Linked DNA regions of Stegostoma tigrinum. The protein of the gene in region 3 purifies or fractionates together with the protein of the main gene of each other region. This does not show direct contact. Links are inferred from orthologs where the notes say so. Each region holds a gene or a part of one and is shown on either strand. Other genes may lie near its edges.

What was found.
Region 1: the proteins of sf3a2 (region 3) and sart1 purify together in Homo sapiens (affinity purification with mass spectrometry; 3 studies listed by BioGRID and IntAct, with this or other methods). This does not show direct contact. The link is inferred for Stegostoma tigrinum from reciprocal best matches to the Homo sapiens genes SF3A2 and SART1.
Region 2: the proteins of sf3a2 (region 3) and ddx42 purify together in Homo sapiens (affinity purification with mass spectrometry; 3 studies listed by BioGRID and IntAct, with this or other methods). This does not show direct contact. The link is inferred for Stegostoma tigrinum from reciprocal best matches to the Homo sapiens genes SF3A2 and DDX42.

The regions. Positions count from the first base shown.
Region 1 is NC_081395.1:7,242,943-7,250,299, reverse strand, and holds the start of sart1 (U4/U6.U5 tri-snRNP-associated protein 1), read right to left. Parts: upstream 3,905-7,357; 5' UTR 3,617-3,904; coding exon 3,376-3,616; intron 2,752-3,375; coding exon 2,697-2,751; intron 2,247-2,696; coding exon 2,191-2,246; intron 559-2,190; coding exon 429-558; intron 1-428. UniProt on the Homo sapiens protein: Plays a role in mRNA splicing as a component of the U4/U6-U5 tri-snRNP, one of the building blocks of the spliceosome. May also bind to DNA.
Region 2 is NC_081384.1:40,116,333-40,123,689, forward strand, and holds the start of ddx42 (ATP-dependent RNA helicase DDX42), read right to left. Parts: upstream 4,522-7,357; 5' UTR 4,293-4,521; intron 1-4,292. UniProt on the Homo sapiens protein: ATP-dependent RNA helicase that binds to partially double-stranded RNAs (dsRNAs) in order to unwind RNA secondary structures. Unwinding is promoted in the presence of single-strand binding proteins.
Region 3 is NC_081383.1:19,451,847-19,459,203, forward strand, and holds the start of sf3a2 (splicing factor 3A subunit 2), read left to right. Parts: upstream 1-3,024; 5' UTR 3,025-3,077; exon of another isoform or gene 3,078-3,138; intron 3,139-3,218; exon of another isoform or gene 3,219-3,388; intron 3,389-4,812; exon of another isoform or gene 4,813-4,944; intron 4,945-7,357. Other genes in the region: plekhj1 (pleckstrin homology domain-containing family J member 1), read right to left, coding at 2,440-2,533. UniProt on the Homo sapiens protein: Component of the 17S U2 SnRNP complex of the spliceosome, a large ribonucleoprotein complex that removes introns from transcribed pre-mRNAs.

The DNA.
Region 1 (7,357 bases), on a different chromosome or scaffold from region 3:
ATGCCATGCTAAGTTCACTATCACTGCTCCATCCCTGTAACCACATCAGCGGGAATGAGGACATTCCTGAAACTCAGAGTCAGCTATATCCCCTCCCCCTGTTGGCTCACTCGGCCATGGCCCAGCCGAGCTCCCAGTCGGGGATGATTTGTAATAGTCATAAAGCTCCAGGAGCCTAGCCTCAAATCCCATTGCTGGGACCTATCCACAGGCTTTCCATAATAGGTTGGTTCCACAGCGGCTGGGATACAGCAGTGCACCCAAAGCTCTCAGTTTTCATACATTTCTATGTTCTATTTCCATTAACCTTTGTGTTTTGGTGCTGTCAGATCTGGTTACTGTGCTTTATTTTTAAGTACACAAAGAGCAGCCCAGTTCCCAGGGAGACAAGGTGAGAAAGGTTCTCGCGGACGCCGGGTCTGACCTACCCTAGCTTCTGATTCAGGAGACGTTTCTCCTTCAGGGCAGCAAGCTTCACCCGAATGTCCTCCTGCTGCTTCATGGCGATGGGGTTAATGGCTGGGACCACAACTGGGTCCTCATTTGTCCCGGTCTCAGCTGCAGCAGTGTGTGGGGCGGGGGGGGGGGGGGGGGGGGGGGGGGGTGGGGGGGAAGAGGGGGGCAAGGCAGAGAGAGCGAGAACATGTTAGCACAGCAACTCCCTTCGAAAACAGACAAGTTCACAGTGTGGTCATTGCTGAGATTTGGGAATCCCAGAGACTAGTCTGGGCATGTCACGATGGCCTGTCACGCTGCCTGAGAGTACATAATTGCAGGAGGAACTCCACAAATCAGCATCCCCACAGATCCATTACCATAGAAGGGGTCTCTCCTGAAAGACGCCAACCCACCGCAATGCCCTGGAACGCGTCCAAGATGATGGCTCCAAGCCTCTGAGGTTTTGGACCTTACAACCTCCTCTAAGTCTAGCAGTAAGAGACTGTTGCCTTCTCAGCTGTGAAGCTGTCAACCTTAAATTGAAGGGTAAAAACACTAGGGGAAAAATAAAAGCTCCATCTGGTTTTTGTCTCGAGGTCCAAACTCTCATTCCATTTTCAAATGTCAGAGCACCAGGACTCTGTCCCAAATCTCTCGTGAGTGGCCTGCTCTTCCCCTGAAGGCTTTCTAACCCTAAAGCCAGCACCACCCTCACCTTCATTCTCACACAACACAGGAAGCCATTTAGCTCACCGTGGGTCTCCTTTTGAAAGAGCGATTCATTTAGTCCCAGTCTCCTCCACACCCAGTTTACAGAGCCCCTGCAGGGTGTAAGTAGGTCATTCGGCCCAACTGGTCCACACTGCCCCTCCGAACAGCACCCCACCCAGACCCATTCCCCTACCCCTACATTTCCCACCTTTAGCCCACCCTAACCCGCACATCCCTGGGCACTATGGGACAATTTAGCACGGCCAATCCACCCTAACCTGCACATCCCTGGGCACTATGGGACAATTTAGCACGGCCAATCCACCCTAACCCGCACATCCCTGGGCACTATGGGACAATTTAGCACGGCCAACCCACCCTAACCTGCACATCCCTGGGCACTATGGGACAATTTAGCACGGCCAATCCACCCTAACCCGCACATCCGTGGACACTATGGGACAATTTAGCACGGCCAATCCACCCTAACCTGCGCATTTCCGGAAACCGGAGCACCCAGAGGAAACCCACGCAGATGCAGACAGTCGCCCGAGGGTGGAATCGAACCTGGGTCCCTGGTGCTGTGAGGCAGCAGTGCTCACCGCTAAGACACCGTGTTCTTGTCCCGCAGTCCTGGAATTGGGACTTTTTAAGCTCAATTATTTATCTTCAAAAGTTCCCACTGAATCTGCTCCCACCACCCTTTCGTGAAGCACTTTCCAAGTTACAACAACTCTGCACTTCAGAAAAAAAATCTCATTTCCCACTCTTCAGATTCCCTTCACCCTCCTGTCAGTAGAATTAATCCCCCAGTCCTTGCGTGATCACAACCAGTGCTGTTTGCCAGCAAATCTCGCCTCAACCCTCCCCCCGCCACCTCCCCCAGGTAACTGAAGTCACTCGTAGCCTGGGTCCTATTTCTGCTCAACTCTGTCTGCAATCGATCCAGAACGGCCCTTTCAGTTCAACTGTTCGGTCCCTCCGATACCCGTTCCCCCTTTCTACAGCACAGAAATCACTTTCAGAACAAACTGGACTCACTCTTTTTCGAATCATTTACTTCCAGGGGTTTGAGCCCGAGCTTGGCTCTCAGCTTGCTGCAGAGAACAGAGGACAATTAGATCAGAAGGCTTCACTTTTCTATAAATGCCGATCACAGGGCCAACCGCGAGCATTTGACGGCCAATCAAGCAATTCTGAAATCTGCCAGCCATCCTGCGCACAGCAAGCTCCCACAAATAAGGATGACAATGACAATGCAGCGATACTAATGCTGGGTGGTGAACGAACGCTGGCGCTAAGGACACAGGCAGGATGCTCGTCCTTTGCTTCTTAGCTATGGGATTTTTTTTATAAATAACCGACCCAACAAGGAAGATGGGGCTTCAGTTTAACACGATAGCGTGGAGCTCCCTCAGCGCTGACCCTCCGACAGTACAGCGCTCCCTCGGTCCCGAAAGGGCAGCCCTGTGCCTCTCATGTGTCCCACAGTCACCACCACAGATCAGATGGACCGAATGGCCCGAGACTGCTGCAAATTCACTCACTTTGTTTCTTCGATGCTCAAGGAGGCGCTCGCAGCACCAGACTTTGTCCCTGGAGCTGAAGGTGAAGAGAATGTGCAGTGAGAACAGGTTCACTCGACATGCAGCACATTCCTAATCGCTGACCACAACCACCCCCTGGAATCCAGGAGTGTCCAAAAGCTTAAAGCTTGCTGCAGGGACACATCCGCAGGAGGCTTGCACACACCTCCAGACTGCTGCCCGCAAAGACCCTCACCCGACAATCCCTCCCAGTGCCCTACTCCTCACTTGGAGGGACCCTGTCTGTACCAACCTCACCCCGGCTGGTATAGGGGAAGGGGTACCCCTTCCCCTGGCACCTCACTGCAGAGAGACCCCAACCTTCCCACCAACCAGGACATGGAAAGTGGGGGGGACTCTGGCCCCAGTCCTCAAAGATGGAAGGGGCTTTGGCCCCGATCCTTGCTCGTGCCAGGGTCAGGGAGCGACGCTGACCCTCAGCCGCACCCCCCAACGCAGAGAGTAAGAGATTCTGACACCAAAGCCCACCCTGAACGGATAGGGAAGGGGGGGAGGGGGGGAACATGAGACACTCTGGCCCCCCAGCCCGTGCTCTGCCCCAGGGGGGTCTGCAGATTCCCTACCCTAGGCCGTTTCCCACCCCCACCCCAATTACTCTCGTCACCCCGGCATCTCTGACCTGCCTCCTCGGTCTTCTCCCTCTTGGGGTGCCGTTCTGGCTGGGCGTCGGCGGCTGGTGCGGGGAGGGGTCTCTTGTCCCGCTCGCGGTCCCTGTCCCGGTGACGGCGGCCCTCCCTCTCCCGGCTGCCCCCGCGCTGCTTGCGCTCCTTGTGTTTGTGCTTCTTGTGGCGGGCCGACTCCTCCCCACCCCCTGAGCCCCTCTCCCTCTCCCTCTCCCGGTGCTTCTTGGAGGATCCCATTGTCCGCCTTTAAACCCCCCACAAACCCCAATCCCTGTGTCTGTCTGTGTGTCTGTGTGTGTCTGTCTGTCTGTCTCTCTGTCTCTGTCTGTCTGTCTCTCTGTCTGTCTGTGTGTGTCTGTCTGTCTCTCTGTGTCTGTCTGTCTGTCTCTCTGTCTGTCTGTCTGTGTGTGTCTGTCTGTCTGTCTCTCTGTGTCTGTCTGTCTGTCTCTCTGTCTGTCTGTCTGTGTGTCTCTCTGTCAGTGTGTCTCTGTGTGTCTCTCTGTCTGTGTGTCTGTCTGTCTCTCTGTCTGTCTGTGTGTGTCTGTCTGTCTGTCTCTCTGTGTCTGTCTGTGTGTCTCTCTGTCTGTGTGTCTCTGTGTGTCTCTCTGTCTGTGTGTCTCTCTGTCTGTGTGTCTCTGTGTGTCTCTCTGTCTGTGTGTCTCTGTGTGTCTGTCTGTCTCTCTGTCTGTGTCTGTCTCTCTCTGTCTGTCTGTGTGTCTCTCTGTCTGTGTGTCTCTGTGTGTCTCTCTGTCTGTGTGTCTCTCTGTCTGTGTGTCTCTGTGTGTCTGTCTGTCTCTCTGTCTGTGTCTGTCTCTCTCTGTCTGTCTGTGTGTCTCTGTCTGTGTGTCTCTGTGTGTCTGTCTCTGTCTGTCTGTCTCTGTCTGTCTGTCTCTGTGTGTGTCTGGGGGGGTGGTGCAGAGATGGGTCTGACAGCAGCAGGGGGCGCGCACTCGATCACGCGCAACTCACCGCAGACGCGCGCTCTCTCACACGGCCCACGGCGGGAGTGGGGGGCGGGGGTGAGCGCGCTCTACACGCACCCGCGGGTGGTGGGTGCGCGCGCGCACTAACTGTCGGTCGCGCGCACCACGGCTCGGCTGTCCCGGAAAACGCGCGGTCACGCTCCCGAGAGATGGATGTTTGACGAGGGAGAGGGGGGACGACGCGCGTCCCAGGTCGGTCACGCGCGCCCCCGGGAGCGCGCGCAATCACAGAAAAGGGGGGGTAGGCGCGCGCGCTGAGGTTCGGCGGAGGGTGGGGGAGCGAGCGACAGGGTCGCGCGCTCGCAATCGACGGGGGCGCGCTACATCCCGCGCTTGTGGTTCACGCGCTGTTAGGGAGCTCCGAGCCGGGAACGCGCGCCGTTCACCGAGGCCGCGCCTTTCGGGGTTTAGTGGCGTGCGCGCTCCCCTCCCCGTCGGACACGCGTGCCGCGCGCGCTCCCGTTGCCGGGACCGGTGTCTCCTCGCGCTCCGGCCGAAAGACGTCGCCTCCGACTAAGATGGCCGCCACTTTCCGGTTGACCCTTCACCCCGTCCCCTCTCCCTAAACGTCACATCCTTCCCCGCCCTCTTAAAGCGGCAATTTACCCGCTTTTTTAAAAAAATCGATTATGTTTCCCTCCTAATCGTCTCTTCACAATAAAATGTTTTGGCTACAGATTCCGGCACGATTTCTCCATCCACTTTCACACTTCTACTGCTGAGTCTATTTAAAGTTGTACAATGGAAAGTATTCCCCCTTCTAAAGCCCTCAATCCAGGCCACTCTCTCCACACTCAGCACAACCTCATTGATCTTCAGCAAACCGGCCTCCAAATGCATCCGACACTGTTTAATTCAATAACTTTTTCTCCCAGTAGGGAGAGTGAGTGTATTGACAGAGTTTTATGTACAGTTTGGAGCTGTAGAGGGAGCTTTACTCTGAATCTAACCCCGTGCTGTCCCTGGGGAGTGTTTGATGGGGAACGGTGTTGAGGGAGCTCTACTCTGTATCTAACCCCGTGCTGCCCCTGTCCTGGGGAGTGTTTGATGGGGGACAGTGTAGAGGGAGCTTCACTCTGTATCTAACCCTGTGCTGCCCCTGTCCTGGGCAGTGTTTGATGGGGAACAGTGTAGAGGGAGCTTCACTCTGTATCTAACCCCGTGCTGTCCCTGTCCCTGGGAGTGTTTGATGGGCGGACAGTGCAGAGGGAGCTTTACTCTGTATCTAACCCCGTGCTCTCCCTCCCCTGGGGAGTGTTTGATGGGGGACAGTGCAGAGGGAGCTTTACTCTGTATCTAACCCTGTGCTCTCCCTGCCCTGGGGAGTGTTTGATGGGGGACAGTGCAGAGGGAGCTTTACTCTGTATCTAACCCTGTGCTCTCCCTGTCCTGGGGAGTGTTTGATGGGCGGACAGTGCAGAGGGAGCTTTACTCTGTATCTAACCCCGTGCTCTCCCTGCCCTGGGGAGTGTTTGATGGGGGACAGTGCAGAGGCACCTCTAAGTGCGATGTGATCACTGTAGCTGAGTGTTGGGGCATGGATTGAGGCGAATTAACTGGCTTCGTGAAACTATCATCATTGCAATAATTCTGACATCCCCGATCATCCTCTTGGGACGTGGGGTCGATTCCTACTGCGGCAGAAGAAAATTAAACGGGATAATTGCGGAGTTGAAACCCCCATTCTGAGTTTCAATTCTGTAGAATAAAAATAATCTGATCACTGACGACCTTTCGAGAAGGAAACACCCGAAGCAGTGACGTGCTCCCGCTTCTAAGCAATTGTCTCTTAACTGGCCTCCGAAATGGTCAAACAAAAATTGAGGACGGTCCACAGACACGTCCACGAGAGCGAAATAAATGAAAGTGAGTTAGTTTGAGTCCGTGCCGCTACAGTGGACCGCAACGAGGGGTGAGAGCGGGGATCAGAAGGGATGGAAGGAAAATATCACCAAGACAACACCCAGGTTCAGCCGGTAAATGGGAAAGCAAATGGATTGCTGGCTTTTATCTCAAAGGGAATGAAGTGTCAGATATTATGACGACCTGCTGAAACTAAGAGGAAATATCGAAACGTCAGCCTTCCTGCTCCTCAGGTGCTGCCTGGCCTGCTGTGGTCATCCAGCTCTACACCTTGTTATCTAATTGACAGTTTTTTAAAAAAATTCATTTTGTGGGACGAGGGTGAACTACACAGTAAATGGAAAAGTCCTGGGGAGAATTGATGAACAGAGAGATCTGGGTGTTCAGGTCTATTTTTCCCCTGAAGGTGACAACGCAGGTCAATAGAGTGGTCAAGAAGGCATACGGCATGCTTTCCTTCATTGGGCAGGGTATTGAGTACAAGAGTTGGCAGGTCATGTTGCAGTTGTGTAGGACTTTGGCTTGGCCACATTTGGAGTACTGTGTACAGTTCTGGTTGCCACATTACCAAAAGGATGTGGATGCTTTGGAGACGATGCAGAGGAGGTTCACCAGGATGTTGCCTGGTATGGAGGTGCTAGCTATGAAGAGAGGTTGAGTAGATTAGGATTATTTTCATTAGAAAGACGGAGATTGAGGGGTGACCTGATTGGGGTCTACAAAATCATGAGGGGTATAGACAGGGTGGAAAGCAAAATGCTTTTTCCCTGAGTGGGGGACTCAATTACTAGGGGTCATGAGTTCAAAGTGAGAGGAGGAAAGTTTAAGGGAGATATGCGTGGAAAGTTCTTTACACAGAGGGTGGTGGGTGCCCGGAACGCGTTGCCAGTGGAGGTGGTAGACGCAGACACGTTAGCGTCTTTTAAGATATATCTGGACAGGTACATGGATGGGCAGGGAGCAAATGGACCCGACCGTTAGAAAAGAGATGACAGGTTAGACCGAGGATCTTGATCGGCGCAGGCTTGGAGGGCCAAAGGGCCTGTTCCTGTGCTGTAGGTTTCTTTGTGGGCGTCACTGGCCGTGCCCAGTATTAATTGCCCTGTCCCTAGTTGGCCTCCGTGAGGTGGGG
Region 2 (7,357 bases), on a different chromosome or scaffold from region 3:
ATTGACAAACATCACATATCTATATAGGTCCCTGGCAGTCATATTATTAGCAAGTTCAGTCCCAGATGACTGTTAAAATTGGGTCAGACCGGAACGTGGATTTGAAACCACAGTTAGATCACCCATAATCTTATTTGAATGAAAGAAAAGACTCAAAAAGCCTTCATTTTCTTATCCATACAGAAAACTTCATACTGAAATTATCTCAGTAGCCATTTGCCCTGCACTTCATAGAGTCCTTCCAGCGCGGAAGCAGGCCATTTGGCTTATTTAGTCCACACTGACCCTCTGAAGAGCATCCCACCCAAACCTCGACCCCCATCCCAATCCCCAGCCCCATAGTTCTGCATTTCCCATGACTAATCCACCCAACCTACACATCGTTGGGCACTGTAGGCAATTTACCATTGCCAATCCAGCTACCTACACATCTTTGGATTATGGTAAGAAACTGAAGCACTTGGAGGAAACCCATGCAGACACGGGAAGAACACACTCTTTGCATAAACAGTTACCTGAGGGCAAATCAAACCTGGGTCTGTGGTGATAAAATGTGAGGCTGGATGAACACAGCAGGCCACGCAGCATCTCAGGAGCACAAAAGCTGACGTTTCGGGCCTAGACCCTTCATCAGAGAGCGGGATGGGGAGAGGGAACTGGAATAAATAGGAAGAGAGGGGGAGGCGGACCGAAGATGGAGAGAAAAGAAGATAGGTGGAGAGAGTATAGGTGGGGAGGTAGGGAGGGGATAGGTCAGTCCAGGGAAGACGGACAGGTCAAGGAGGTGGGATGAGGTTAGTAGGTAGATGGGGGTGCGGCTTGGGGTGGGAGGAAGGGATGGGTGAGAGGAAGAACTGGTTAGGGAGGCAGAGACAGGTTGGACTGGTTTTGGGATGCAGTGGGTGGGGGGGGAAGAGCTGGGCTGGTTGTGTGGTGCAGTGGGGGGAGGGGACGAACTGGGCTGGTTTAGGGATGCTGTAGGGGAAGGGGAGATTTTGAAACTGGTGAAGTCCACATTGATACCATTAGGCTGCAGGGTTCCCAGGCGGAATATCAGTTGCTGTTCCTGCAACCTTCGGGTGGCATCATTGTGGCACTGCAGGAGGCCCATGATGGACATGTCATCTAAAGAATGGGAGGGGGAGAGGAAATGGTTTGCGACTGGGAGGTGCAGTTGTTTGTTGCGGACTGAGCGGAGGTGTTCTGCAAAGCGGTCTCCAAGCCTCCGCTTGGTTTCCCCAATAGGCCCTCCAACCCCACCACACCCGGCACCTTCCCCTGCAACCGCAGGAAATGCTACACTTGCCCCCACACCTCCTCCCTCACCCCTATCCCAGGCCCCAAGATGACATTCCACATTAAGCAGAGGTTCACCTGCACATCTGCCAATGTGGTATACTGCATCCACTGTACCCGGTGTGGCTTCCTCTACATTGGGGAAACCAAGCGGAGGCTTGTAGACTGCTTTGCAGAACACCTCCGCTCAGTTCGCAACAAACAACTGCACCTCCCAGTCGCAAACCATTTCCACTCCCCCTCCCATTCTCTAGATGACATGTCCATCATGGGCCTCCTGCAGTGCCACAATGATGCCACCCGAAAGTTGCATGAACAGCAACTCATATTCCGCCTGGGAACCCTGCAGCCTAATGGTATCAATGTGGACTTCACCAGTTTCAAAATCTCCCCTTCCCCTACAGCATCCCTAAACCAGCCCAGTTCGTCCCCTCCCCCCACTGCACCACACAACCAGCCCAGCTCTTCCCCCCCCCCACCCACTGCATCCCAAAACCAGTCCAACCTGTCTCTGCCTCCCTAACCTGTTCTTCCTCTCACCCACACAACCAGCCCAGCTCTTCCCCCCCCCACCCACTGCATCCCAAAACCAGTCCAACCTGTCTCTGCCTCCCTAACCTGTTCTTCCTCTCACCCATCCCTTCCTCCCACCCCAAGCCGCACCCCCATCTACCTACTAACCTCATCCCACCTCCTTGACCTGTCCGTCTTCCCTGGACTGACCTATCCCCTCCCTACCTCCCCACCTATACTCTCTCCACCTATCTTCTTTTCTCTCCATCTTCAGTCCGCCTCCCCCTCTCTTCCTATTTATTCCAGTTCCCTCTCCCCATCCCGCTCTCTGATGAAGGGTCTAGGCCCGAAACGTCAGCTTTTGTGCTCCTGAGATGCTGCTTGGCCTGCTGTGTTCATCCAGCCTCACATTTTATCATCTTGGAATTCTCCAGCATCTGCAGTTCCCATTATCTCTGGGTCCGTGGTGCTGTGAGGCAGCAGTGCTCACCATTCAGCCACTGTGCTGACCAATTGCAGGATTGTGGGCATTTTCAATGAACACATTCAACAGTAATACTGACAAAAGGGACAATTCTCAGGACACTCTTTACTCCGGTCAATATTGTTCAACAGCAGTTGTCATCGAGAAAGATAGACTCACCCAAGACCCTCCCTACTTGCTATCATAATATCTGGACTCTTAAATAATCTGCTTTAGTAGTACAGCTGTACCTGGGAAAGCTTAAATAAAACAGCACTCTCAACCAGGCCTATAATTCACAATGCAGAAACAGCTCAAATAGATTTCAACTTTGAGACAGTCCCTTGGCCACCACACAAAAATTTTTAATATGGTTAGTAAAATATTTGGAAGTCAAAATTACACCTCTGCCAGTCTGTTAACAAGGTAACTAGCAAACAGACAACACCTGAGAAGAATCATTAACATTTCAGATCAAAGCCTTTCAGGGAAAAGAGGGAATTATAGACCAGTTTGCCTGACATTGGGAGCAGGGAAAATGCTTGTGTCTTTATTATATATTTAATAGTGCAGTACTTGGGAAAAAAAAGTGGCATGATTGGGCAACGTCAGCATGGATTTACTAATGGGAAATCGTGCTTGACAAACCTACTGGAATTTTTCAAGGACCTTACTAGTAGAATTGTTGAGGAGAGCCAGTGTTTGGTAAGGTCCAATATAAAAGGAAACAACATGGGATTGGGATTAGTGCACTGACATAGATATTGAACTGATTGGCAGACAGGAAACAAAATAGGAATGAACAGGTCATTTTATGAGGGAAAACTATTGACCAATAGGGTTCAACAGGGATCAGTGCCTGCATCCCAGCTGTTCATAATATATATTAATGGTTTAGATTAGGGAAGTTTGTAGATTATACAAAACTGAGGGAATTGCTGGGAGGAAGAGAGATGCTATGGTTTGATTTGGACAGTTTGAGAGAGTGGGGCAATGTATGGCAGATAAATTGGAATATGAATAAACGTGAGGTTATCCACTTTGGTAGCAAAAACAAGGATGATTATCAGAATGGTGATAAATTGGGGAAGGGGAGAAGTGCACTGAAACTTGGAGACGTTGCACACTAATTGCTGTAAGTATGCATGCTGGTGCAGTTGGCAGTGAAGAAAGCAAAGGTTGGCCTTCATAGCAAGGCAATATGACTACAAAAGCAGGGCTGTCCTGGTGCATTTTAAGGCCATAATTGAGGTATTGTGTAGAGTTTTCATTTGATTATTTAAGGAAAGATGCTATGTCTTAGGAACGAGCACAGGAAATGTTTACCAGATTGATTCGTGGGATGCAGATAGAACCGTATAAACTAGAGATTGAGAATGTGAAGAGATCTTATGGAAGTCTATAAAAGTTTAAGAGGATTAGATGGAACAAATGCAGGGTGTTCTTGTTGACGGGGGAAGTCCAGAACTAGAGGCCAGCCATAAGACTGAACAGAAATGCCTTTTCCCACCCGAGTGGTGAACTTATGGAATTCTGCCATAGAAAATAATTAACAGAAAAACACCATCTCTTCAAGGAGTTCGACATAGTTCTTAGGGCTAAACGGATTCGAGGGTATGAGGAGAAAGCGAGAAGGGGCTACTGAGTTGATGATCAGCCACGATCATATTGAATGGCGGATCATACTCGAAGAACTAAATGGCTTTCACTTGCTCCTACTTTCTATCTGAGAAATGCGTTCGAAGGAGTCTCCGATCCAAATTCTTCCGCGGATTCCCCCTCGTTAGGCCTGTCACGATTGTAATATTAACTCGCTTGGCCAGCTCTAGGTACCTGCCGGTGCTCGGTATTTAAGCAGGACAGGTAAACGGTGCAGGTATACTGCTTAGATTTAATTGCTCGTGTTCGCAGTGTTGTAAACACCACCCGGGACGGGGAGAAGGCCCAGATCGAGCGGAGGGTCCAAATCGAGGCCCCAGGAGCCTACACTAGGGAGGACGAGCACTTGGCAGTTACACACCTTGTGACAACAGCCCGACCCTTTGTCTGCCCTCGGCTGCAGGCGCCACCCGGCCCAAGGAAATGGAGAAAATCCTCGAACGTCGTCGCCACCACCGAGCCGCAGCTCCCCACGCATGCGCACCCCTCGCCTCTTCTTTCCCCCACCTCACACATTTCACTTTTTTAAAAAACTGATTATTTTCCATTCATTTCTCTCAGAAATTGCCGGGCAGTGGAGGGAAACTTATAAATTCTGTATTTGGAGATCGCACAGTGCCACTTACGAAACTTCTTTTAATCAAACTGCCTGACGTCACTAGGTCAAGGGGTAACGCGGTTTTCCGGTTACTTTTGTTTTCGGAAATGACGCTGGAAACCGCAAAAGAGGCCGGGAGAAAATAAAGATGAAGGAAAAATAATTTCTGACTGACAGAAAATTTCAAAATACGAAAAGAGTTCAGGTCCGTGGTCTGGCGATGTCTAGGACCAAGCCGTGGCCGGTGAACTCTGACCTTATTTGCCGAAGGGTGGCGATTGACAGAGCACTAATCCAATCAGAGATAGGGACCTGTGGTACCGGACATGTCAATCATGGGTTCGGTGCCAATCGAAATAGTGATAGAAGGCGGGATTTCCGCAGGTGGCGGGTAGCCGTGAAGAAACGGGAGACGGCAGCGGCGGGCTCACGAATTGAGGTGAGTACAGGGACAAGATTGAGTTGACTCGGCTTGGCCCGTGGGGTTGCAGAGATAGAGCCACATGTATGCGGTTCTGAGGAAAGGTCACCGGACCCGAAACGTTAACTCTTCTTCTTCACTGATGCTGCCAGACTCGCTGAGCTTTTTCAGCAACTTTGTTTTTGTTCCTGATGTACAGAATCCACAGTTCTTTTGGTTTTTATATGCGGGCTATATTGACCAAACAGTCTGACTCTGCAGCATTAACCTGCGGCCAGGGCTGACTGTCAGAAAACGACAAAAACTCTTTACACTGCTCAGCTCAACTCAAATCAGCGCTGTGGGAGCGCCGTGCCAGAGGAGGGCTAGGAGCCTGTTTTCATGTTTTATGAGATTCAAAAATGTCTTTATGCCATTCTTTTCCTTTCTTGAAGTGTAGTGAGCTGTGCAAGCTATCGTGTATGTGGACGCCCTAAAAAGAGCAAATGTGTTAAATAATCAATGAATTGTTGCTAGGTATTAATGAACACCTATGTGTTTGATGAGCCTGGCATGGACTTCTTACTGTGTTTTGAAAAGTTGGTTTACCCTTGATTAGTTAGATTGAATTGCACTATAAAAACCTGAATGAATTGATAGTATCTAATAAAACAGTGCTCCCTGTAAATTCTGTCTGAGGGGAAGTATTTCAAAAAATGGTCATTGGAAAAAGTTGCTATGTAGCATTTACATTAAATCAAGTTAATCGGGCAGAGTCAGGATGGTTTTGCAAAAGGGAGGTCATGTTTGAGGAAGTAATGTGCTGTGGATGGAGGGGAACACGTAAAAAACTGAACTTGATTTCCAGATGGAAATTGTGAAAGGTTATTGTGGAAAATGAAAGCTCATGGTGTAATTGCTAGCTTATTGTCATGGTCAGAACTTTGACTGGATAACTGGAAGCAGAACGTAGGGTCTCTTTCAGTTTGGCAGTATGGAACGACTAATGGGCTGGTGCTTGGACCTCAACTGTACAATTAATAGAAGTGACTAGGATGAAGGGATGGACTGTTGCCAAATTTGCTGTTATGCACGTATATGTGAGAAAGTGACATAACAAGGAGACTGCAAAATGATGCAGGTAGATTACGTGAATGGCCAGGTGAAGTATAATATGGGGAAAATGAGAAAAATGTCTATCTTAACAGGAAGGATTTTAAAACAAAAAGACAACTCATCTAAACGGTGAGACACTGCAGAGGCCAGAGATGCAAAAAGATCTGGGTGTCTGCTAGTACACTAATTGAAAAAGTTTAGAATGCGGGTACAGCAGTTAATTAGGGTAACTTATAGAATGTTACTGTTTAATGCAAGAGGATTTAACTACAAAAATTGTGAATGCATATCTAGCATTCTGTGTACTGTGTTCGTCACTTCATTTACAGAAGCATGTAAATGCTTTCTAGTCAGTTTGGAGACTTACCAGACAAATAGCTGAATTGAGTGGATTGTCATTTAAGCAAAAGTTGGACAGTCTAGGTTTATTTATGGTGGAGTTCTGAAGAGCGGGGTGGGGGGGTGATCTTGATTTAAAACATAAGACTTTGAGAGGTCTTGACTCAGTAAGTATAGAGCTGGTGTGCATTCTTTTATTAGAGTTAAGAACTAGGGGTTACTGTTTAAAGCTCAGACGTCACCCGTTTAAAATAATCTGAGGTTTCAGGTTCTTTAGAACTCTTTTGAAAATGTGGTAGCAGAATCTCTTGTATTTTTTAAAGCAGACGTCGATAGATTCTTGATAACGGGTAGAAGATTGGAGTGAATCGATGACCTAGTGGTATTATCTCTGTTAATCCAGAAACCCAGATAATGTTCTGAGGACCAGGGTCCGAATCCTGCCAGGGCAGATGGTGGAATTTGAGCTCAATAAATACCTAGAAACAAGAATCTAATGATGACTGTGAATCCATCATCAATTGTCAGGAAAAAACCCATCTGAATCACGAATGTCCTTTTAGGGAAGGACCTGCCATCCTTAGCTTACGTGTGACGCAACCCACAGCAATGTGGTTGACTCAGCTGACCTCTGGGCTGTTAGGTATGGGCAATAAATGCTGCCCAGCCAGCAATGCCCTCCTCTTGTGAATGAACAAAAAAAAGGAAGAAATGTAGAACTGTGGTTACAAAACAATGGATTGAATAACCTACTCTTGCTCCTTCATATTGATACTCTGGTGGGGTACAGTAATTGCATCTTCCTCTCCTCCCATACCATGTTCCTCATTCTGTAACCCCAAGATGGTGTCATTAACTCTGACACTGAGTAGGCTGTCAGGGGACTTGTGTTCTGGGATGCAGAAAATAAGAGACTCCAACTGTACTGTCTTCTACGCCCGGCCACAACATTGCATTTTATTCTCAAATTCAA
Region 3 (7,357 bases):
AGAAAGGGCACAGAAAAAAATTGCAAGGATGTTACAAAATGCAAAATATACTAGCGATTTGATCTGGATATTGCTGTAATGCAAGGCAGCCAGAAGGCATGTTATCTAATGATTAAACACCCACAAGCAGGAAATGATGATAAACAGGCCAAAGCAATAAACTAGAGCAATCAGTCCTAACACAACTGCTTTTAAATGTTAGTTATATATAGAATTTAGAAAGAGAATGACTTGTTAATGTTTCGGACTGCTTTTCATTCAAACTTGTGCTTCAGTTTAAACTCTCCCACAAAGCAAATATTGCAGACGCTGAAGTGAACAAATTGCAGGAGCTATTCAGTGGAGCAAGTAACATCTGTGGAGAAAAAAGCTAATATTTGAGGGATGCAATCTTTAAAGGAAAAAAAACTTTAAATATAACAGACATTAGAGGTTTTAATCAAGTAGAATTAGGCCAACCAAGATGGGTGATGGCAGGTGGGATTAAGTTTTCTTCTCTCATTCACTTGCCTTGCCTCTTGGATGATGGGGCTGAATATAGGGCAGACTCATTAGCAATTATCATTGTCAAATGTAAGATGGGTAAGTTGCCAAAAGCAGGTAAAGGGTCTAGAAACAGGTATTTGACAGAGGGCAAAAATCTGGCAGATTGAATTTAATGTGAATTTGTCTACTTTGGAAGGAAAAACGGAAATGTACCCACTATTTAAAACAGTGCAGGCAGAGATTGCCAAACTGTGTCTGTGTGACCTGTGATGCAAATCAAAACAAAAATCAGTTTGCAGCTCTGGCAAGTGATTAGGGAGACAAATAGAATGGCAATTATTACAAGGGGAATGGAATACATAAGCAGGAACATTTTATTGCTGCAGGGCTTTGGTGAAACCATATCTCAAATACATGTACACTTTTTTTCAAAAAAGTGTACAAGGTTCAATTGGCTCATTTCTGATATGAAGGGCTCATCTTACAAAGAAACGACTGAGCTGGGTGGGCTAGTTCCTTCCAAGAACTTAGTAGAATGAGGGGATCTTATTGAAATATACAAGGCCATGAGTGAATTTGATACAGTGGATAGTTTTGGATAGGAAAATGGAATGGAGACCACAATCAGATCACGTATGATTTAATGGGAAAGGCAAAAGGAAAGGCCAAATGGCCTACTTCTGTTCCCAAATCCACATTCCCATGCTCCTTCACTTACTAAAGCTTGTTACAGCTGATATTTTCCACACCTGAAACATTAACTCTGTATCGCTCTCTAGAGATGCTCTCAACATACTAACTATAGTCAGCATTTTTAGCTTTGTAAATACAGATGTCAGACCTCTTAGACCTCTCTCTAGTCAACATTTTTGAATGAATTGGATGGTTATCAATCTCCAAACTGAATTTGAAATCATTTCAACACATCACAAAAATCATGCTCATATGAACAAATGTCTCCATTCCTATACAGGATCATTGGCCATTTAAACCCTCATTCATGCTAGTCACCTCCAGACCACTCAACATGAACTCAGCATACTCAAAAGACTTATTTATTGCACAACAAACCCAGTTCGACCATCACCTCTATCCACAAGACTCACATTAACATCCAGATTTTAACAATTTTATGTTACTCTCCTTATCGGCAAATACATTTACAGTCTAATCACCATTACTCCCACATCTGCAGGCCACCTTGTGTTTGTCTTTCCAGCCCAATGAGCAGCTGCCCTTTAACTCCATTTATTGATGATCTTGTTTTCTGGCTATGAGACTTCACACTCAAATCTCTCCCTCTCCCCCCAACCCACTCTTTTTCTGCTACAGACCCCACACTAAAATAGAAGCTTTCTTTTTTTAAAAAAGAAACATTCATAACATTTTTTTGGTTCATGTGGTTTCCCTGTCCCCAGGGTAGGGGTTATTGTTACAGTAAAAACTTATAAAATGCAATCATAATAGGTTGGCATTTACTTTACACTCTCTGCTGTCCCCTCCATCGACAGCTAACATTGACATATAATAGAGCTAAACAATTTGCGGTGCATAACCACTGTTTTCTGATTGTAGTGCTTGCAGCGAATTTAAGAAATGGAACAGGCAACTGGGTTTAAGTAGAAGTGATAACTGCTAATTTAGATACTCGAAGGAAAGGTGGGCAGAGTCAACTCTTGCACGTTGCACTCAATGTCACCAGCGGGTTACAAAATTATGAGGTAGGTATTGGTTCCAATGTAACACCCCAGGACTGTTTTCATCCTCCCTGCTGAGCAAGTGAAATCCCTTTCAACCCATCCGACCCCAATTCTGAGGAAGGGTCACCGGGCCCGAAACCTTAACTGTTTCTCCCCAACCCACCCCACCCCACCCCACAAATGTTGCCAGACCTGCTGAGCTTTTCCAGCAAGTTCTATTTTTGTTTCTCGAGCAGCTTAGATTGCTCCTTACCGTCGTTGCGCTTTGGGCCCTTCATGGTGAGCTCGGCTGCCTTCTCGGCCGGTTGTTTGGAGAGACACAGCAGCTCCTTCTCATTGTATCTCATGGTAGCTGGCAGAAAGGCCCCTTCCCCCTCGATATCACCCCTTCCCTCACCGAGGGGAGGGGGGGGGGGTGGATGTTAATGAGCAGTTCCTTGCCTTCAGACACAGCCACCACCCTGGACAAAGCTGCCCCACCTGGTGAGCGTTATCTCTGGAAGCGAAGGCCGAGCGGGAGGTGCGTGCCGTTGGTACAAAATCGCGATAAAGTCTGCGGCATATCTAAAAGTCAATAAACACGGGCACGCCCAATCTAGCGACAAATCATGACTTCGAGCTGCGGCGGAGGCTGGCACTACGCGGCACACCGAGCGGCAGACGGAACAAAAACCGCACCTCACCCCAACGCTCGACCTCCCTCAGAATCCACCGCGTCTTCTTGTCAATAAAGTTATTGAAAAGCCCCACTTCCGGTGGTCCACGACCTTCTTCCGGTTTTTGGCGCATCGCGCCAGTGTTCTTTGTTAATAAAGTTACTGATAACAGTAAGTTCCGGTGCGCCGCGACTTTCTTCCGGTCGGTTTTGGTGGCTGTTGGAGGCGTGTTCAGGTAGTCGCGGGGCTGATGGTTCGAGGCCGCTAGTTTATTGGTCCCTGGTAGCCGGAGCTTGGTGGGTCAGGCACAATATACCTTCGTCATGATGAATGTTCTTTCCCTCACTTCCCCCCCCCCCGGACCGGTTGTTAACCCGGCCATTTTCTGAGCTGGCCAAGGAACCTGAGGCCTGTGTTTCCAGGCTGTTTAATGCAACGTTTTCCTTTGTGTCTGCTTGTTTGTTCAATGGTAAAGCTGGAGCGATTGGGGTCAACTTTGTTCGGAGTGAGCTGAATAAGCAAAGTGCTTGGTCTGACTGAAACCAGGTTGAGAGTTTGTTTCCCCTTGACTTTTGGGTGGTGGTGTGAGGAGAAAGGTGGTTCGGCATAGAGGACCGAGTACCTAACACTGAGATGAGGAGAAGTTTTTACAACAACGCACTTAATGGGTTAGAGATAGTGGGAACTGCAGATGCTGGAGAATCCGAGAATCTTTTTCTGATGAAGGGTCTAGGCCCGAAACATCAGCTTTTGTGCTCCTAAGATGCTGCTTGGCCTGCTGTGTTCATCCAGCTTCACACTTTGTTATCACTTAATGGGTTAGATTTTGAATCTTTAGAATTCTGTCTTGGAGTACTGCCTACAGTTTTGTTTTCCTATCCTGAGCAGGGGATAAATATTTTTTGATCAACTTGTTCAGAAATATTATGATGTACCTCTAGAGCATCAGAGGGACTTTAACCCAGGCCTTCTGGTTCAGATGTAGGGTGTTTACCAGTATGTCACTCGACCCTTCTGAAAAGGGGATGTACTTGCCATAGAAGGAGCACAATGGCAGTTCATCAAATTAATCCCTCCGACAGCATGTTTGTTATACCAGGGATTGAGGAGATTGGGTATATATTTCTTAGAGCTTTGAAGATTTGGAGTTGAACTCATTGAAACTTACAGGACATGATAGGGTGAATATAGATAAGCTGTTTTCTCTGGATGTTAAACGAAAAATGAGGGGCCATAATCTCAGGATAAAGGATGAGGTATTTGGACTAAACTAACAGGTGCTGTGTTATTAGGTATATTCAAGGTTAAGATTGATGGATTGTTGGTGTCTCACAAATTCCTGATATAGGATTTATGAAGTTAAGGCAGAAAGTCAATGACATTTGTATTATGTGGTGGCCCAAGCTTAATGAACTGGGTGGTCTATTCCTTTTCCATACATTTAGTTTAAGAGTAGTGGAAAATGTTTGTACTGCATATGTACATGAATGATGTAAGGAGGAATGTTTTTGTTAATATATATGCTTCCAAACACTTGTGTGGTGAGGGAATCTTCTTTATTTCTGACGACAGATTTTTGCTTCAGCTTTAACTACATTTCACAAGATTGATCACTGGTTGCATCTGTTCTATTCTGTAGTTTTTCCCAATGGCTTGAGTTGAAACATTCAGCACATCATCACAAATATTTATCTTTTTGTTCCTATGCCATGTGTGTTCCCAGAATGTTAATCTTCTACCAGTTTTTTAAAATATATATTGCCTGACCACAATTTCAGCTGTTAGTACCGTTACATTCTACCCAAGTATGCAGATAATGCCAACATTTGTGTCCTTGCTGTTTCCTTGATTTGATGCTGCCCCTGTTTGGATGAGTGTGAATGGGTTAGAAACTTCTCTGGAATGATCTTAGCTGATGTTCTGACCCTTTGCGAAAAACTGAGTCTATCTCTCTTCAATTGCTCACCAAGGATCCACCATAAACAAGCTTGGTTTGCTGTTTGGAACAACTGACTTTGGCCTCGTTCCTAGTATCACTTGGGATCAGCTCATCTCCAAGTCTGAATATAGTAAATTTAACCTGCCCTCCAGTAGCTGAGCATGTAAGTGCTCAATATTTAAGTGAATTTTGAGACAACTCTGCATCTTTGAAGATGTTATGCTTTTTGGATGAAGTATTAAACCAGGATGTGTTCAACAACAGCAACTTAGCATTTACATTGGGAACAGGAACAGACCATGTAACTAGTCAAGCCTGCATCACCATTCGTTTACTTCAACACCACTTCCCTGCACTATATTAGTACTGTTTGATATCATTAATTTCTGACTTGAATATCTCAAATTTTTTTTTAGTTTCCGAAGCCCCTGGGTAGAGAATTCCAATATTCATTACCCTCTGAGTGACAAGATTCATGCACGTCTTGATTTGAACTTAGCTTACCCTTCCTTAGTTTATGTCCCCTGGAATTATACTTACCAGCCAGATGAAACAGCTTCCCTGCCTTCTCGCATCCTGTAAGCATTATGTAAGTTTTAGTGAGTTCATCCCTCATTTTGTCTTGAAACTTTAGAGAATGCAGATCCATCATCTTCAATCCATCATAGAAAAATTACACTACCCCAGGGATTAATCTAGTGAACCTCCATTCCCCTCCTGTTCTGGCATGCATATCCCTTTGTTAGATATGGGAATCAAACTGCACACTGTACTCCAGGTGAGGTCATGCAAAGGCTTTATTCAACTGCAGCAAGATATTTTTATTCCTGTTTTCAAGTCCCCTTATGATGGAGAGCCAGCATACCATATGCCTTCCTAGTTATTTGTTGAACCTGAATGCTAACTTGTAGGATCTTTGGACATCCTCAGTTTCCAACCTCTCACCATTTAGGAAAAAGTCTGCTTTTCTGTTTTTGTTTCTCAATTAAAGCAAATAACTGCACATTGACTCACATTATTTTCCACCTGCATATTCTAGCCAATTCACTAAGTTTGTCTAAATTCTTCTTGAAGCCTTTCTTAGTCTGTTTCACAATGTACCCACCCAAATTGGTGTCATCAGCAAATTTTGAAATATGACAGTTGGTGCCTAAGCTGAAATTATTGGACTGAAAATAGCTTATGAACACAAGTCAATATAGTTTTGTGCATTATTTAACAGCCTGCTTTCCTGAGCATGGTCTGTTAATTCCTACTCTCTGCTTTCTGTCTATTAAAAGCCCTGTCAACCCTCTACAGTCCTCCTTGCTAACATCTAGGGACTAATGCCAAAATTTTGGCACTACATTCTCAAACATTCACTCCCTCCACCCCCAACACACAGTTGCAGCAGTGTGTACTATCTACAAGATGCATTGCAGAAATTCACCAAAGATCCTCTGACAGCACCTTCCAAACCCATGATAACTTCCATCTCGAAAGAGAAGGGCAGTAGATACACAAGAACACCACCAAGTTCAAGTTCCCCTCCAAGCCATTCACCATCCTGACTTGGATATACATTGATGTTCCTTCACAGTCACTGGGTCAAAATCCTGGAATTCCCTCCCCGATGGCATTGTGGGTCAACCCACAATGATAGGCTACATCAGTTCAAGAAGGCAGCTCACCACCACCTTCTCAAGGGCAGCTAGGAATGGACAATAAATGCTGGCCAGCCTGCAGTGCCCACATCCCATAAAATGAATAAAAAAACCCTCAAGTCCTGGTAACATCCTGGTGAATTTTTGGTTTATGTGTTCATAGGAAGCTATGAAAATAATTGCTATTTTGTTCCAATGTAGTGTTCCTCCTCCAGAGTCCTTACAATTGGAATTACGCCAGCATTCTATTTCGTCAGCTTCACTCCAACTACAACTTATATTAATGAGATTGGTGACCATCTCAGCATTTTACAAGGGGGAGAAATGAACAATGGAAGACTAGTAGTGCATTTGAACAGTTCAGTTTTCATGAGGCTATAGGAAGCAGGTAGAGAAGTATGAAAAATTTCAAGGATGTGTACTAAGCAATTAGAATATATGTGTTGGGAGACAGAAGTAAAACCAATTTAAAGAAATGGATACCAATGGCTGGAGTGTAGTGTTACAGATTTCATAGATTAAAGAGAAGCTATACATGGATTGAATGAGTGGGGTAGGGCCTTTGAAATTGGCACAAGAAATCAATTCAGTTTAGTCAGGATGGACGTGATAATGGGCAGTGATGATTAGCTGAAGCTGATAGAGAGCTTGTGAGAATTAAATTTTTGGAGATGCTTAACACATCAATGGACTATTTTAGTGTGAAGTAACAGTGTTATTTGGCAACCTGCAAGAAGGCAATGTATTGAAAGGGGAAGAATGGGTTCTAATGGTGAGCTTAGAATTGATCAGACTAACTTGATCTTCACTGCAGGATTTACAGCTGGTGCCTGAATTTTGCAGGTGTGAGCAAACCTTCAGTTTGCACTTGTGGACTAATTTTACAATATATTCGTCATGGGTGCTAGGTTTTAACCCAAACCAGCCTCTTTA